Linked DNA regions of Drosophila melanogaster. The protein of the gene in region 2 interacts with the protein of the main gene of each other region in a pairwise test. Each region holds a gene or a part of one and is shown on either strand. Other genes may lie near its edges.

What was found. Proteins that work in one complex are often made in the same cells at the same time.
Region 1: the proteins of CG6023 (region 2) and CG6951 interact in a two-hybrid assay, tested with the Drosophila melanogaster proteins (one large-scale study listed by BioGRID).

The regions. Positions count from the first base shown.
Region 1 is NT_037436.4:20,237,704-20,247,273, forward strand, and holds CG6951 (uncharacterized protein), read left to right. Parts: upstream 1-3,563; 5' UTR 3,564-3,837; intron 3,838-3,859; exon of another isoform or gene 3,860-3,981; intron 3,982-4,141; exon of another isoform or gene 4,142-4,200; intron 4,201-4,802; exon of another isoform or gene 4,803-5,094; coding exon of another isoform or gene 5,095-5,754; exon of another isoform or gene 5,755-6,032; intron 6,033-6,461; 5' UTR 6,462-6,463; coding exon 6,464-6,874; intron 6,875-7,234; coding exon 7,235-7,435; 3' UTR 7,436-7,609; downstream 7,610-9,570. Other genes in the region: CG17233 (uncharacterized protein), read right to left, coding at 1-207, 1,035-1,910, 2,160-2,792; Clc (clathrin light chain), read left to right, coding at 5,095-5,754. UniProt on the Drosophila melanogaster protein: Supplies the nucleotide substrate for thymidylate synthetase.
Region 2 is NC_004354.4:18,312,508-18,319,696, reverse strand, and holds CG6023 (uncharacterized protein), read left to right. Parts: upstream 1-3,795; 5' UTR 3,796-3,964; coding exon 3,965-4,115; intron 4,116-4,360; coding exon 4,361-4,680; intron 4,681-4,760; coding exon 4,761-5,207; 3' UTR 5,208-5,573; downstream 5,574-7,189.

The sequences.
Region 1 (9,570 bases), on a different chromosome or scaffold from region 2:
CTTGCTGTTGAAGTCGTAGTACGTGTTCTGTTGCTGCTGTTGCTGATTGTGCTGCTGTTGTTGTTGCTGTTGCTGCTGCAACTGATGATGCTGCGGCTCCTGGGGACTGCGCACATTGCCGTAGTCGCTGCTACTGGGGATAAGCGTTTTCTTCGGTTGGCGCTTGCGCGGAGTCTTCGCTGGTTTCGGCGGCGGCTTCACCTCCTCCTGCAAGCAAGTGTGAAAAGAATGCGGATTAGAACACTCGGGATCACCAAAGGTTATATGCAAACAGCACACTATCAATAGCTTGGACATTGGGACATTAGAAACGGTTGGTAAACGAGTACACTGGCTGGTAAAAAGAACAGTCTGCTCCCAGAACATTTTATGGGGTATTAACAACTGGGCTGCGAGCGGCATACGCGTTTGGTGCTTGGGTTTACCCCCATTAGGATTGGATCATACCATTACAACATAACGTCACAGTTTCAAAGTGGCCACATGACTTTAAACTAGAGAATATCAGTTAGCAGTTTTTGTTAGATTGAACCGAAGAATTTCAAATTAAGCGATTAATAACAGAAGGCCAAAGAAATAGCTTCCACCATAATACAAGAAATAATCGAAAGGGCATGCAAATTTTTTTTAAAATATAAAGCTACAGAACAGGGCTTTAACGAAATAACCTTATATTCGGGAAACTGGATACTTCTAGTATTTGAAAGCAAGAAAATCTAATTAGTACTTCTATAAATGTAGGTTTCAAATTCTTAATTAAAATAAATATTGGAAATTTTGCGTCCAAATGAGATTTTTTATGTAAGCTACCAATAGTCTGTTAAGGTACGTTTTGTTAATTCAAATTTATTTTTAGCCAATCAGAAAGAAAAAGCGCACAGTGGAACTAAATAAGAGATCTTCCAAACTAGTCCATTTAAGTTGGCAAAATCTTGGAAGAAATAGTGTGAAAAGCAAATAAAACGAAATAAAGGCAGAACACAAACAAATTAATAAACAAATAGAAACGGAAATAAAAAAAATTAAATACAAACCTTTGGCACTACTTGAATCTGTGACGCTAAGTTGCCCGCCGACGGCGACATGATCATGTTGGCCACCACGTGCTGGCGCCGACCGGAGGACTGGGATTGGTTTTGATTGTGCTCCTGCAGCTGCAGTTGCTCCCCATCGACCACGCTCGCGGGATAGAAGGTTTGCTTGATCTCCAGCCCGGGCGGTAGGTTGAAAACTAGATTTTCGCCACCACCACCGGCGTCCACTGAGGATGCCTCACTGGCAAAATCGAGCTGCCGATGTTCCTGTTTCACCTGCAGCTGCAGCACGTTCTTAATGTCCTCCTGCCCCGCTCCATTGTCCTCCAGCTTCGTCCAGCAGAGGTTCTGCTGCTGCTGCTGTTGCTGCAGGGTGCTTTGTATCACAGATGAGTAGGCCACCGTGGTGGGTGTGGCAGCAGCAGACGATCCAGCGCCCGCTTCTTGCCGCCTTTGCACAGGGGATGCCGTCTTGTAGACGATCACCTGGGCCTGCGGTGTGCTGACCACGTCCACCGCATGTAAATTCGTGATGGGCGATCCATCTGCGGAGCTTAGCGCCGGACTGGCATATTGCACCGGATAGGATCCCGCCGGAACTGGCACTGCCAGCGGCACCGGACTGGCATCCTGTTGGTCTACTATCGTTGCCCGATACGGCTGGCCATCCTTCCGCGTCACCTTGACCTTCCGGCCATCAATGGTGTAATAGGTGTCCGGTTCTGTGTCTGCCTCGGCGATCTCCTGTTGCAGTTGCTGGTGGAGCTGCTGCTGTTGCTGCTGCGCCGCTGTCTGTTGTTGCTGCTGCTGCTGTTGCAGTTGGATCAGGTAAATCGAGTCGTTGTAGGCTTTTAATTGCTTTTCCTGCTTAATCTGCTACAGCGCACCGTACATAGATTGAATCGGAATCGGAAAGTGTTTGGTTTGGGATTGATTCGACATAGAGAGGCTAGACTTAGTCTATGCTTTGATGGGTTTATTGGAAGGGATGTTATGTTAGTATGCGATAAATGCGATAGAGCCTGCGGGGTTTTAATAAGTGTGTGTGCTTCCCCAGAAGCTGGCGTAAACCATAATAGAAGAGTGATCTGAAAGCCGAACGTAAAACAAACGAATTCTACTCACCACTTTGTCGGCCACCAGGTTTAGCTGTTGCTGTTGCGCCTGCTGCTGTTGCTGTTGGGCCTGTTGTTGCTGCTGTTGTGCCTGCTGCTGTTGCTGCTGTGCCTGCTGCTGTTGCATGGCCAGGAAGGTGTTCGATATCATGTTCGGCGTGTTCCAGGTCAGCGACGTCGACGTCAGGGCCACCGTTGTGGGCGATGGTGAGGCTCCACTCGACGAGGAGTTCTCCCCGTAATAGTTCGAGGCAACATTGTTGACTACAGCAGCCGCTGCCGCCGACACGGCCGCCTGGTTCTGGAACGAACTGAGCTGCTTGTCCAGCGAACTGGGCAGCTGCAGCTGGCGGTGCGGCGTGCTCACCGCTGACGAGGCATAGTGGGCGGGCTTAGGCTGGACACTGGCCGCCGCCGCATGGTGGTAGATCTGCTGGAATACTGGGTTGTAGCTGCCAATCGGTGACGGAGGCACAAAGCTGCCACCACTGGCGGCCGCCGCATTAAAGCTGGCGATGCTTGCTGCCGTAATGGTGGCCAGGTGTGGATGCTGGAAGTCCTCTGCTGTTCCGCCGGAGCTTCCGGCACTGGCGGGCACGATGCGGTTGTAGGCGTATGACCAGGGACTGGAATTGGGATCCATGTTTGGCTTGGGCTCTTCTACTGCTGATGGCTGGTAACTGAAACAAATAGCAAAACTTTAGTGGTTTTTGAATATAATTAGCGGCTTATATGTAAAGGATTAACTAATTGGAGTTTATTATTGCTCGGATACATTTCCAATGGTCATGTGTTAAGTCTAAAAATCCCGCCCATATTTATCAATTTAGCGGTAGCTTAGATTATAACATATTTATATTGTTATCACAAGTTGCTTGCCATGGCATTCATAATATAGAGGGGAAAAAGGCGCGAATTCAATTAATGTTATTTATGGATCAATAATAATTACTATAAAATTATTGATATTTATATGTGGTCAAACATATTTTGTTTATCTTTTATTGTAAATCAATAAACACATAGTAGAAGTACACTTTAGAATGAAACACTCCAGTTTTGGGGTGTTTGTTCCCCAACTTTTCTGCACTGAAGGGATCCCCCTATTTTTTTCGTATCTTCATTTTTTTTGTATCCCTTTTGGCCACGATGCGCTTGGTTCCCCCTTCAAAAAAATTGGCGTCTGTATTTTTTGCCTTGGCGCTCGGCGGCAAGGAGACCGCATTTTTGAAGTTTCAGCGTCAATGGGTTAATGTGGGTGCTCACTTATGACATTACAATGACGGGGCCATCACATTGGCTGGGATTTATGCTGTTTTTGGCAATGTTTTTCTGCCTGGGAATAGGATTTTTTCCCGTATTTTCCGCTTGTACATATATGTATCCATGCACACAATCACACACACACACACACATACTCACACACACGGGCGTACATGCGTGCGTGTTGGAAGATAGTCACTAACTTTTAGTCGTTATAGAATCGGAACTGTCGGTCTGCTCGGGCCCAGCATTATCTTCACATCGGATCGGCCAGCACAACAACGCTTCAATATGCACGAGCGGATTTTATGTTTAACTAACAGCGAACGTTCTTTTTTTTAGATTCGGTGCATAACTTTTTTGTGGATGAAACAATCTCCAAAATGGCCGCTCTGCTGCCAGTGAAAAACGAACCACTGGCTCAGGTGAATGATGCCACGGTGAACTTGTTCATCGGTTCACTAGTTCGCGCGCCGAGTGTTTATTGTTTGTTTTGCCGTCGTCCTCGCATTTCGTCTTTGTTAATTTCCTCAAAAAGTATACTGCGTCTTGTGTTCTTCGTGGCATAGGTTAGTCAAAAACATAATTAAGTCATGTTGTGTGAACAATTCACCGTGAAATTTGACCAGCAATTATATTCCCATGTGCTATGCAATAGCAACAAGTGTTGTATAATACGCTTTTTATCGGGTCTACAGTCATTACTAGTTAACTTTGTTGTGTATTTACATTTTACGAGCATTTATTAAGGCACATTTGATAAGATATAAACAAATTAATCGTAACTCCTCTGAAGGTTGTGTTTACTGAACTCGCGCGTTTCCTAACACTGATCAATTGGAACTAGTTGATTTCAAAAACCATGAGAACTTTACAAAATCTGAAAACAAAAAAAAAAATAAAATAATTCCAAACTTAAATATTATATTAAATCTAGGTTTTATTAACTATATGTACGGTTCTAAATTATATATGAACGAATCAAGCCACCACCATTACACATTTTGCAACACTAATTGACCAGAAACCCAGTGGAAAATTGACGCTGCTGATATAATTTAAAAGTTTAGTTAAGGAAAAATTAAATGTTCTTACTTTGGTTTTTTCAACATACATTATCATAAACTTGTAGCTTAATAATACAAAATGTAGCTAAATCTTTAACTCGTTATCCGTGATGTTAAGGAATGTTGAATTCGGCTTTGACAAGTAAAATAGTTAACAATGGTTTCTGTTCCTTAAATATTACTAATTTGTATACATTTAAAAGATTTGGCATAATAACTGGTGTAAAAAAATATTTATTTTTTAATATAAAAATCATAACATTAAATTTAAAACCATCGCGTTGCGATATATGTTGCATTATCCAGCACTGTTCGGCTGGAACCAGTTCGATAGCCCGCTGTTTTATGGTTGGTTCACGTACTAATGACAGTCATTTTACGTATTCATTGCTAAAAGAAAACTGAAAAAATACATTTGACCAAGTTTCCGGTTAGTCATCCGCCCACACCGATCTTCAATTAGTCCTAACCGAATCAAAGGAGAGGTGCGTAGTGCCCAATTGTCAATGAATCGGGGGGAATCCGCCAGCAGCTGGCTGCTCCTCTGCGTACGTGTAAATCTGGGTGAGACGCCCACTAAATAGCAATCACAACATTTCCAGAGAGCACATAGCCATGGACTTCGGAGACGATTTCGCTGCCAAGGAGGACGTGGATCCGGCGGCCGAGTTCCTGGCGCGCGAACAGTCAGCTCTCGGGGACTTGGAGGCGGAGATTACGGGTGGATCTGCATCAGCTCCTCCGGCTGCATCCACAGACGAGGGCTTGGGTGAGCTTCTGGGAGGCACCGCCTCCGAAGGCGATCTGCTCTCTGCTGGCGGCACGGGTGGCCTCGAATCCTCCACTGGCAGTTTTGAGGTCATTGGTGGCGAGTCCAATGAACCCGTGGGCATATCCGGTCCGCCGCCGTCGCGGGAAGAGCCCGAAAAGATACGCAAATGGCGCGAAGAGCAAAAGCAACGACTGGAGGAGAAGGACATCGAGGAGGAGCGAAAAAAGGAGGAACTCCGACAGCAGTCCAAGAAGGAGCTGGACGACTGGTTGCGCCAGATTGGCGAGTCCATATCGAAGACCAAACTGGCGTCGCGGAATGCCGAGAAACAAGCCGCCACCCTGGAGAATGGCACCATCGAGCCGGGCACCGAATGGGAGCGCATAGCCAAGCTCTGCGACTTCAATCCCAAGGTGAACAAGGCGGGAAAGGACGTCTCCCGCATGCGATCCATCTACCTGCACCTCAAGCAGAATCCCATCCAGGTGCAGAAGAGCACCTAGGTAGTTTTAATTACGCACTCGCCTAACCACATTGAGTTGAATATGAAAATTATTATTGAAAGTATTCGCTGTATATTCCAATTTATGATACATAAAATATTATTATTGCTGCTATAACATAGCCGCGATCATCGTTTTGTCTAATGAATGCAATAAAGAATGTGCACACAGTTGTCATGCTTTCCTTGACTATCATATACCCCATCACACAAAATAAGAAAAACGACATGAAAAAGTTAGGAAAAAGAACAAATAAAAAATAAAACCAAGGATATGACAACTAAAGTGTTTTTTCGTTCATTTTGTTAATCAAGCAGGGTTGCACATCAAGGGGCTTTAATTACTTCCAGTTTTGTTGTAAATAATATTTATTGCTCTATAAAACGCATTATACAAACCATTTATTATTCTTATCTCTAGTTAGTTATACACATACAACTTGTTTTCATCATATATGTGTGTTGGAAATATCAATGGGTTGGAAATGGAATATGGTTGTGTATGGATTTGCATTCATTAAATGATTATTAAAATAAAGACATACAGACAACTGAGGCAAGTATTTGTCATTGCAGAGCTGGTTTAATGTATGCATTATATGAATGAAATACGCATAAAGAAACCAATTACGATAATGAAAAGTGGATATCAGAAATCATAATTTAATTATTTCCATCGCTTAATAAGGTTTTCTACTTGTTTTGCAGAAATGGCTGAAGTTTCCGCTCAAGATTTGATATCCCAGTTGTCGAAGTCACCCGAAAGCCACAAGAGAAAGGAATATCTGCATTGGGATGACTACTTTATGGCCACCTCACTGCTCTCCGCCAAACGCAGCAAAGATCCCGTCACCCAAGTGGGCGCCTGCATCGTGGATTCCCAGAATCGGATAGTGGCCATTGGATACAATGGGTTCCCTCGCAACTGCAGCGATGACGTGTTTCCGTGGTCAAAAGCTAAGAAAGGCTCGCAGGAATTTGATCCCCTGGAAGACAAGAAGATGTACGTGGTCCACGCGGAGGCCAATGCAATCCTGAACAGCAACGGCATGAGTTTGTCTGGAACTCGACTGTATACCACACTATTTCCGTGCAACGAATGTGCCAAACTCATTATACAGGTAAAACTAATATTAACGAAGGAAGCCGAATATAGGATTTCTGTTCTATTATTTGAAATGCAACTTTAATATTTTCATATGGCAGCTGTATAATTTAGTCGTCCTATTTTGATAAAATGAAAAACGAATTAATATATGGAAAAACAACGGTTGTGTACAAAATTACACCAATATATGATCACAAACATGGAAGCACAATCTTTCCAATAGTTTCACGGCTTCAAAAAGGTTTTAAGTTTTTCGTTAAAACGAAAGGACGACCAAACGGACGGCAGCTTTATGAACTCATCTTCTAAAATTGATCAAGAATATATAGTACATACATATCATAACATATAAATTAACCTATTTGTATTCCAGGTGGGCATATCTCAGGTGCTATATTTGTCCGACAAATATGCCGATAAGCCCACATATCGTGCATCCAAGCGGATGCTGGATGCAGTGGGCGTGGAATATAAGCGACACATCCCCCAGAAAAAAACGATCACCATTGATTTTGACACCTTCCCGGAAGAAGATCCGAATGCATCCCTGGGACTAAACGAACTCCATTTGTAATGTACTAATACAATCTTAGCTATCTTGACAACTTTTAATGTGTTTAAAGTAAATTTGACGTGATCGGACTAAATATGTAGACAAATGATAAATAAATTTAATAGCATGCTAATTAAGTTATACTTAGTTTGGCAGTACTAATATAAATAAAAAAATACAGTTTAACTAAAAAGCAAAACGTAAAACGATGTTCTTTTCTATCTGTGAGTCAGAAAAATGCTTCGGAAAATGAGTTCCCTGTAATCGATATTAAAATCAAAATCCAGTAAATCATTGAATCTGACCACTTCCTTTGACGTTTGTTCAAATATGTTCGTAAAAGTATAGTCAAAATCAAAAGCAGAACTTATCTAGATCCCAAAACGTACATATTCTAACCTAATAGGGAATAAAAAACAATAGTTTTTCGTTGAGTATTGCTCCTTTTTTGCAGAGCATAAACGATTAGACGCTTCATTTTATCCGCACGCAAAGATACTTAAAATGTTTTTTAATTAGTACCCATTTGGGAAGAGTGTTCACTTGCACTAATTGACTTGGCAAACAGAAGACTGTCAGGTGAGACTCTTAGCATGCACAGGTGTCCACCGGAGACCAAAAGCGCCATGGAAGTGCTCTACTCAGGTAAAAGTACATGGTATTTTCATATTGAATCTTGGAATTAAATCCCATAATTCATTCCTAAAAAGTTAAATTAATAATTATACTGATCGAAAATTAAAAACAGGGTATATGTGTAATGGAAACTACTCTGTGCCACTTTATAGCTCCGTAATTAAAGGACCTTGAAAATTCTATTGCTGGCCCACACATTAAATTAATTAAGTTAGCCACTTTTGAACTTTGATGTTGTGTTGGCTAAAAATTCGCATGCAGCCATTTTAAATACCGGGCTGAGCAAAATGTTTATGGGATGTTTTTCAATGGCATGCCAGCACGAAGGAGCTCCCACCTGACCAACCAGCCAACCAGGCCATTCAGGTGAGAGTGGCGTGCGGCCAACCGGCCAACCGGCCATTAGCACTGGAATATGCAAAACAGTGCGCGAAACAGGACGAGGATGCCAATAAGAAGAACAGCGAGGATACTCGACCTATCGGAAATCGCCGAGTGACCCTTACTAGCCTCCATGCACTATTGTCTGCAGGCTGCATTGAAACGTGTCCGGCGGATTTCAATATCGGGCCACAAGGTAAGAACCGGTTATGCAGAGAAGATGGGTCAAGCTGGCTGGTAAAGTAAAGTGTTTTATTGTTGAGGTGGAAAACGAAGAATTAGAGTTTTCGTCTATTTGACTTACATTATTCTTTCCTACACCTAAACTAACTCAACAATTCCACTAGCTAAAATCTTTCCGGCTTAAAGAGTTCTGAAGAAGTGGAAGTCTAAGGAACAACACGGACGACCATCTAATCGTGTATCTTAGGCATGTAGAATCAGGGGATTAGTATCTGAAAGGCTGTGTATCTTCATCTGGCCCGGCTTCTTGTTTGTATTTGTATGCATAGAATGCAGACAAAGTTTACCAATTGCAACGGAAACTTGTGCCGCACGCACATCTGCTAACTGAATTTGAAGTGGGACCGAGCATTCCGTAATCACTAATAGCAGGTTAGCCGCTCTGGGCCCTAATTGCCATTAAAGTTAAAGCTACGACCAACGAAAACCCCAAAATCGTGAAACCACCGTGAAGGAGCAAGGGGACAGCACTCATTTTGGGGCTTTCGTGAGTTTCAGCTACAAAATCCCCTCGAGGCCGGAGCCCCAAAATCACACAGAATGGCCAACGGAAGGCTTGGCGGCACTTGGACTATTAAAACACATACGAGTATACGACACCCCAAAGGCCATGGAACCGAGCAAATAATCAATATAACTACAAGAACGGAACCATAACAGAGCTCTGGGTTTTGTGTAACGATAGTGGAACATATCAACAGAATATCAAGTCACACGGCGCACTTGTTGGTTATAACCATCGATCCTCTTCTTTTCTTTTTGCAAACAGGTGCCAGAAATGCTCGGCTGAATATTGCAAAATTCATTAAATAGATAATTATAATATTACATCTGCAATTGATTCCAAGATATTATATCCCATGAATCTTGTACATATATGAAGTAGTTTTTTAAGC
Region 2 (7,189 bases):
TTGCAAGACGTCTTATAGCCGCTTGACCTCTGAGGCGACTTAAACGGCAAGGCTATGCAAAGACAATTGTACAACAGTAAAAACTTTTCACTTATGTTTCTACTTCATTTATAGAATATTTAAGAATAATATTGATGTTAAGTTACAATATCATGTTGTACGAATTCTTCACTTAATAAATATAGTATATATGTACATAAAAAAAAAGTGCTCGACCTTGAACTAATGATATCCCTATTTGTTTATTTTTGCAGTTAATCACCGCACTGAAATAAAACACGTCGCGTGACAAAACTGAGGTGAGTTCTAAGTTAAGTTGGCAGTTAAACTTAAGGTCCAACGCGGCGTATACTTATTATGACGTATACTTAATATGGCGTGGTAAACAAGCTAACAGGAACCTGGCTCAGGGAACCCCAGTGCGTCACAGCTCGCACCTCGATGACTTGTGGAAGATGGCCAGTGCCAAAAATAGGCACTTCTCTCACCTGTCCGAGCCCCTTGTTTTCGTACCGCATTTGCCTTTGCCTTTGATGGGCGGTAAGACTCTGCCCAAGTGCTTCCCACAGCGCTCCATTCATAATATAATGCGCTGGGCAAATAAGTGAGTGTGTGCGCCCCTCTCTCGGTTGGTAACTTGGTCGGAAACTCGGTCGTTCAGCCGGTCTGTGCCCATGTCTCCAAAGATACGTGATCCGAGAGATAGTCGACACTGCGATCCGGCCTGAATGGGAGGTGACGCGGCAAGCCGGAGAGCTGGGGTGCTGGCACGGGAAAGAGAGCCGGGTCGGGGCAGCTTCTAAACACAAACGCAAATACGGAGCAACGTCGCTCGGTGATTTACCCATCCAGCTATAGACATATGTATGATATCAAGCCGGCCAGAGTGTCTGTGGTCAGTTCGGCCCACTCCCAGATGACAGGTGACGGCCATCGAATTGGGGTATTTCCTCATGGCGATTCTAGATTCTACATTCACGTCACCGACCGTTTTATTCGGTCAAGGGTAGTCGATGGCAACTGGCATTTGGTGCCATTGAGGACTTAGTTTTAAACGCCCTGATTCACTTCGATCTTAACTAAGGTGCGGTCTTTCCACCACTGTATTTCCATACACCAATTATGTGGAAGTTGGCACAGTGGGAATTCTATTTGAATGGAGTAAATTCCATTCCAAGCGATAAAACATTAAGTATTTAAGTCGATGCGTACAGAACGAGAAAGATCAGTAACGGCTACTTCTAGAGTATAATAAAACCAATGCAAATCGAATGGTAATCTCCCAATAATCGAATGATTAACCTTGGCATATCGCACACATCAACCACATTGAGTGTGCCAAATTAGAACAGTATAAGGAAGATTGCAGAAATAATCCTTTCTTGACTCTCAGATGATGCAAATTTAAATTGAAATTTAAGCTATTATTTATATATGATTTCCCGGTAGTTTATGTACTTTATATATAATATAAAATAATCAGTTATAATGCCATACAATCTGAAATTGTCTTCTGTGTGGCAAATTAGATCTAGAAACTGATTGATATATTGTTCATATCCGAGTTGCATTAAACACTGTATCTGTTTAATGTTAACAAATGTAACTTTATGAAAAATGTAACTTTGAAGGAAACACTATCTTCTGTCGCGTGTGCATTTGGCTAACGAGAACTTACACAATGAACTTACACGTGCATCTTGGTGGTATATTTGCTAAATTTAAATATTATATGCCTGGCTGAGGCGATAAGTCTGAGCGATATTTCCGTCGCTGTAAGTGTGGGATGTTTGCAGCTTTTTACTACGCTGAGTACTAAGTACTGTCGTACGTCACTCTGGAAGAGCTCATCAATGGAATGGTCATTTCTAAAAAGGGAATGGCAAACAGGAACGAGCGATAGATAGCGGATCTCCCTCAAACCGGATGACGTTGCAAGTTTAGCGAGTTCAGGCCGAGATTAGTGCGTGGCCAAAGTTAGCACCTCCTCGAGTGCGATAATTAACAGTCAACAATGCCTGGATGGGCGCAAAAAAAAAAAAAAATAAATTATAATAATAATAAAGAGGAGGAAATCAATACATATCGAATCAAAAGGAGAAGGCACCCATCTAGCGCTGAACAAATGCAATTCTGGACTGACAGCGGGCAAACTGCATTGGAAAACCCTTGGACATGGCCTCCAGCTCGAATTCCGGAAAAGTTGGCAATTATGGATCTGCCCAGAGCAATTGGGTAAAAACAAAGCTCGAAAAATTTGCCCAACTGATGAAATACTACGCAGAAAACTCGACAAGGGAATACGACTCCCATGAGCTTTGTGTCCCATGAGTGGGTTGAACTACGTGCGTCTTTATGAGTAATTGCTATGTCAAAGTGTGAGTGCCATGTTGGGCTAGGTTATGTGCTTGCTCGATGCACTGTGCACTACTGTGCACTGGCCATAGAAGAGACAGACACTCTGTCTGCCGGTTGCCGGTGTCTCTTATACCCAGTGCTCGATCAATTGGCCAAGTCCAGCGACCAGCGGCCAGCGGCCAGCGGCCAAGTGGCTATTGCCAGTCAGTTGCATGCAAAACGCGCACGTGCCAAGCGATCGATCGGAAATGCCTACGGAACGACGCGTCATTTGCCAGGCAAGTGGCACCCGCATCATAAATCGCCACTTAGTTAAAGTAAATACAGTAAATCGAGTAACTGAAGAATCCGAAGTGACGCCGCCGCCACAGCAGCTAAGAGACACGAGATATTCGCAAATTAATCAAAGTAAACGCGATTCCACTTTGGCTAATTCAGCCTGATGGGCATTGAGACCAATGTTGAATTTACATATAGCCATTACAATTTCCGGAAAGCTCAGTATTCAGGCATCAGGCTTATCAAATTTCGTACAAGAACAGTGAAATTCCCCATAAAAAATGTGTTTGTTGTCAAAATGTTGCCTCGAGCTTTTTGCTTTGGGTGTTACTCTGTTAGCTTGAACACTGAGTTTGGAATATGTATACCAAACAAATTCCAAGAATCTATCAAACATGTATTAATCAGCTAACAAACAGAGCAATTGGCATGTGTCGTTAAACAGTGACTAAAAGCCACTCATAGACAGAGCTAAACTAAAATGTTTGCAGTCGTCGTCCTCCAGGCAGGCAATTTAAATAAGGATTCAATGTTGCGATTGTAAGGTCAGCCTAATGCCAGTTGGCAACCAAGATGCCCGATTACTTGGTGTAGGGTGCAAGAATGCAATGCGACATCCGTTTTGGGCCATGAAGCGTGTGTGCATAAATTACAACGGTTGGCAACTCATTTGCCGCAAGACAGGAAGAAAACAAAACGTCATGTGCAGCGCTGCAACAGCGGCATGAACTACTGACCAGGGAGTAGCTAATCCCCGGCTGAGTCAGGAAGCCCATCCAAGCCAAGCCAAGCCAACCCACCCACTCACCCACTCACCCCCACCTCCGATAATTGAGAAAACCCAAATTCGAACTCCCTTTGCGGGCCGTTGTTTTTTTGATTCATTATCGTCATCGACCATCGGCCGCTGATGCTGCCGTTGCTGCTGCTGTGGTTGCTGCTATTGCTGCTCTTGCTGCTTGCTGTTGTTGTTGTTCACTTGTCGCTACAACGAGCACAACAAGTGTGAGTACCCGCCGCCCGCGCGCGTGTATGTGTGTGTGTGCGTAAAAAAAGTAAGCTCGGCCACGCGCTGCGCCGCTCGTGCGGCTTCGGCTACTGATATCGCCGGATGGCGGTCCGGTTTGTATTTAAATCGCCGGCGTGTGCCCCAACTCCTCATTAACCGTAAGATCTCGCAGAGCCCGCACGCCAGCCCCAGCTCTCCAGCTATCCAGCTATCCAGCTCTTTAGCGCGCTTTCAATCTGAATCTTGGCCAAATATCGAAAACCAATAAGACATACTCTCCGAACCGTGTGTGCCTAACATCACAAATCAAATCAAAATATGACCGCCAACAGCAGTGCCAGTGAATCCTTCGAGCTCCAATTCTTGGAGCGACTACAGCAGCAGCAGCAGCAGCAGGAGCAGGAGCAGAGTGCTCCGGCGGCGACAAAAGCGTCCTGCCAGCAGCAATCCAACATCATCGGTCGCATTTGTAAGTGTGCATTAAGATCTAGCGCCTCTGAATCATGTCGCTCTATCTGTATCTTTGTATCTATAACTGTGTCATCGCTGGGCAAACAGGAAAGTGCTCATCAAATGATAGGGATCTTGGGCATTGAAGTTTTCAATCATCATTATCTTATTGGCCAAGCCTGGGCATCCATCAGGATTAGGGAGATCTTTTGAACATCTTTGTATGAATCCTATTTACTGACCTTCCATCTTCTTGCATTGCAGCTACCTCCAAGTGCTGGCTCCTGGGCATCCTGCTGCTACTCACAGTCGCCACTAGTTGGCCAACGGGGACAATTGCCGCACCGCGTCGCGCTCGAGGATTGAGCCTGATTCTGCCGCACCGCAATCACGCACGACTACACCATCACCACCAGCACACCAGGTCAATAAGCACCAAGATCGTGCCCCTGTTAACCAATCAGACTGAAGGCAGGGAGCAGTGCACGGACCTTAAAATGACTCCCAATATCGAACACCTGCAAGTGGCGCTCGAGGTGGCCAAGAATACGCGGGAGGCGGTCCTCTGTCTGACCAAAGAATGGGTAAGTTAGCTAGAACGATGGACTTGCGGCAGCAGAGGCACTAAGTTTCCCATTTCCCATTTTTTTTCATTGCGAAACAGCTGAGGAATCAAAACCACACCCTGCCCCAAGATCTTCACTCCTACTCTCTGCATTCCCTGGCATTGAAGCATCCGCTCCAGTCGGAGGTCAAGGAAGTTAAGTTCCAGAACCAGCTGGGTGACTTTGTGTACAGTGGCAAGGTGACAACGCTGCAGGAGGAGATGCCGGCCATTATCGAGTCCCTGCTGGTCCTGGAGCATCTATACGAGATCATTGTGTTCGATCACCAGTCCTGGAACTGCTACTTCAATAACTTCGTGCATTTCTTCCATCACAACATGCACGAGGCTCTCAAGGTCGCCGGTCTCAACGATGCCTGCAATCCGAGGAACGCCGAGTACAATGCCGATCACATATGGCCGATGTTTGGCGCCGCCGTGGAGACCATCAAGGTGCTGACCATCATCGAGCACAAGTACGAGCAGCTGATCAAGCTGTATCAGTAATCCGCTGGACAGAGTTGGACGCTCCAGAGGAGCAGTAAAAGCCATACCAAAAATAATCGCCTCCGATGACCCACTGCAATCTCAAGCTAATAGGCTATGCCCACGAGTATCCAGATCCGTATTCGTCTACTAGACACCCTCATCTGCCTTAGACCCTATTATTTATTATAACTTATTAAATCCCCATTGCCCTCATACGTATTTATATCGCCTTTGCATCCTATTTATATACATACGCGTACCACCATACTCACTGAACACATTCACCGCATCGCAGGCTCGATAACTTATGAAAACTATTACTTAAGTGTATTTTTTTTATATATATTTACAATATTACAATGACTATTAATAAATTATACCGATAGGCGCATACGTGAAGTGCTTTTCTTTTCTGGTTGACCAATTTCATCATTCAGATGAAATTAAGTTACAACGAATTGGGGGCTTAGTCAACGGTGGGAATTCTGCCAACCTTTCGAAGGTCTACAACATCGATTAAAGCATGGGTGGTCATAAGATGTTTCCATGAATTGAAACAAGTGGAAATGGAACAAATCAAAGGTAGAGTTCAAAGTATAATTCTCAATTGCATAGCTAGCTAAGTAAATCGCTTAATACTTAGGGTTTTTTGATTTTTCACTGTTTTTTTTTTGGGGACTCGCGGGTTTATGACCTCCAATGCTTGAAGTTGGCAACCCAATTACCACTCCCCCAAATCGGAAATACTGGGGAAGTATGCGCGAGATTCCGTTTTTGGCCCGACTCGTCACCTGCCCTGACCCACCCCATTGTCGTTTATAGCTCGTGCCCGGGGCACGTTCCGATAGATAGATAGATACATAGATAGATGTATGTACATACATATATATCGGTTCGAGGTTTTCCACAGCGCGGCTGTTAAGAAAACCCCAAGTACCGTACAGCCGTCTGGCTGTGACTCATGGACCATTAGGCAAAATGTCGGGCAATCGTCGTGTGATCTCTGCATGTGACAAAGCAGTTTGTACACGGTAAAAAAGTGTGATATCTCCCCAGTGGCGGCTTATCGGAAATGTTTTATGATCATTCCTATCTGTAGTTTCTGCATGGTAGTTCTGCTTCCTGCATAAAAGAATCGAAAAGCTTGATAGGGCTACAAAAAAGGTCTGCAGAGGGAAAGTAGAGGGCTACTTTCTTAAAAAGGGTTCTATCAAAACTAACAGCCAAGGAGACCATTATTTATTTTTTTTTTAAAGCATGCCTACGTACATATATCGTTTGGGGTATTGTGTTGCCTTCGTTGGGGCACCAAAGGACCAATTTTACCGTTGCCACTTGACTGGCTTCCCCATTCTTTGGGGGTAATCGGATCGGATGGTCAGGAGCGATCAAAGATGGTGGTGCGTGGGATGGGGACTCGGGGATTCGGATTCAGCTAGGGATTGGGCTGGGACTGCAGAGCCGTTCGCGTGGCAATGGCGTCAGTCGCCTCGAAAACCGATAGCTGTAAAAGCTGCCGCCGCAGCGAATTGAATCAGCGGCAGAGGCCGCCGCCGCAGCAGCAGCAGCAGCAGCAACAGGCGCAGCAGCATTTTCTCTGCTGCAGCGAGCTGAGGTTATGAATGAAAATCCAAGTCCACACAATGTTCCGCTCGACAACCTGTTCTTCATCTTCCTCTTCTCGTCGCTGGCCGCACACTGTACCTCTCTGTCTCTCGCCCTCTCCCTCTCTCACTCGTTCTCTGTGGAGAGCGGGAACCTGTTGCGCTCTGCTCTTTCACTCGAATCGGCGCTCTCCGCGCCTCACGTTTGGAGCTTCTTGGCCGCTCGCCGATTGGCCAGAGCGCTTCGGAACCGCTCGTCTTCGGAGTGACGCTTAGGGGGCAGCGGACCAATCAGCGACGGGCCACTGACACACATTCACAGTTTCACCGATGGGCCTACGTGCAACGGCCCACGCACACAAGTGCGTAGAATGGCATCTCCGCGCCACGCCCCAC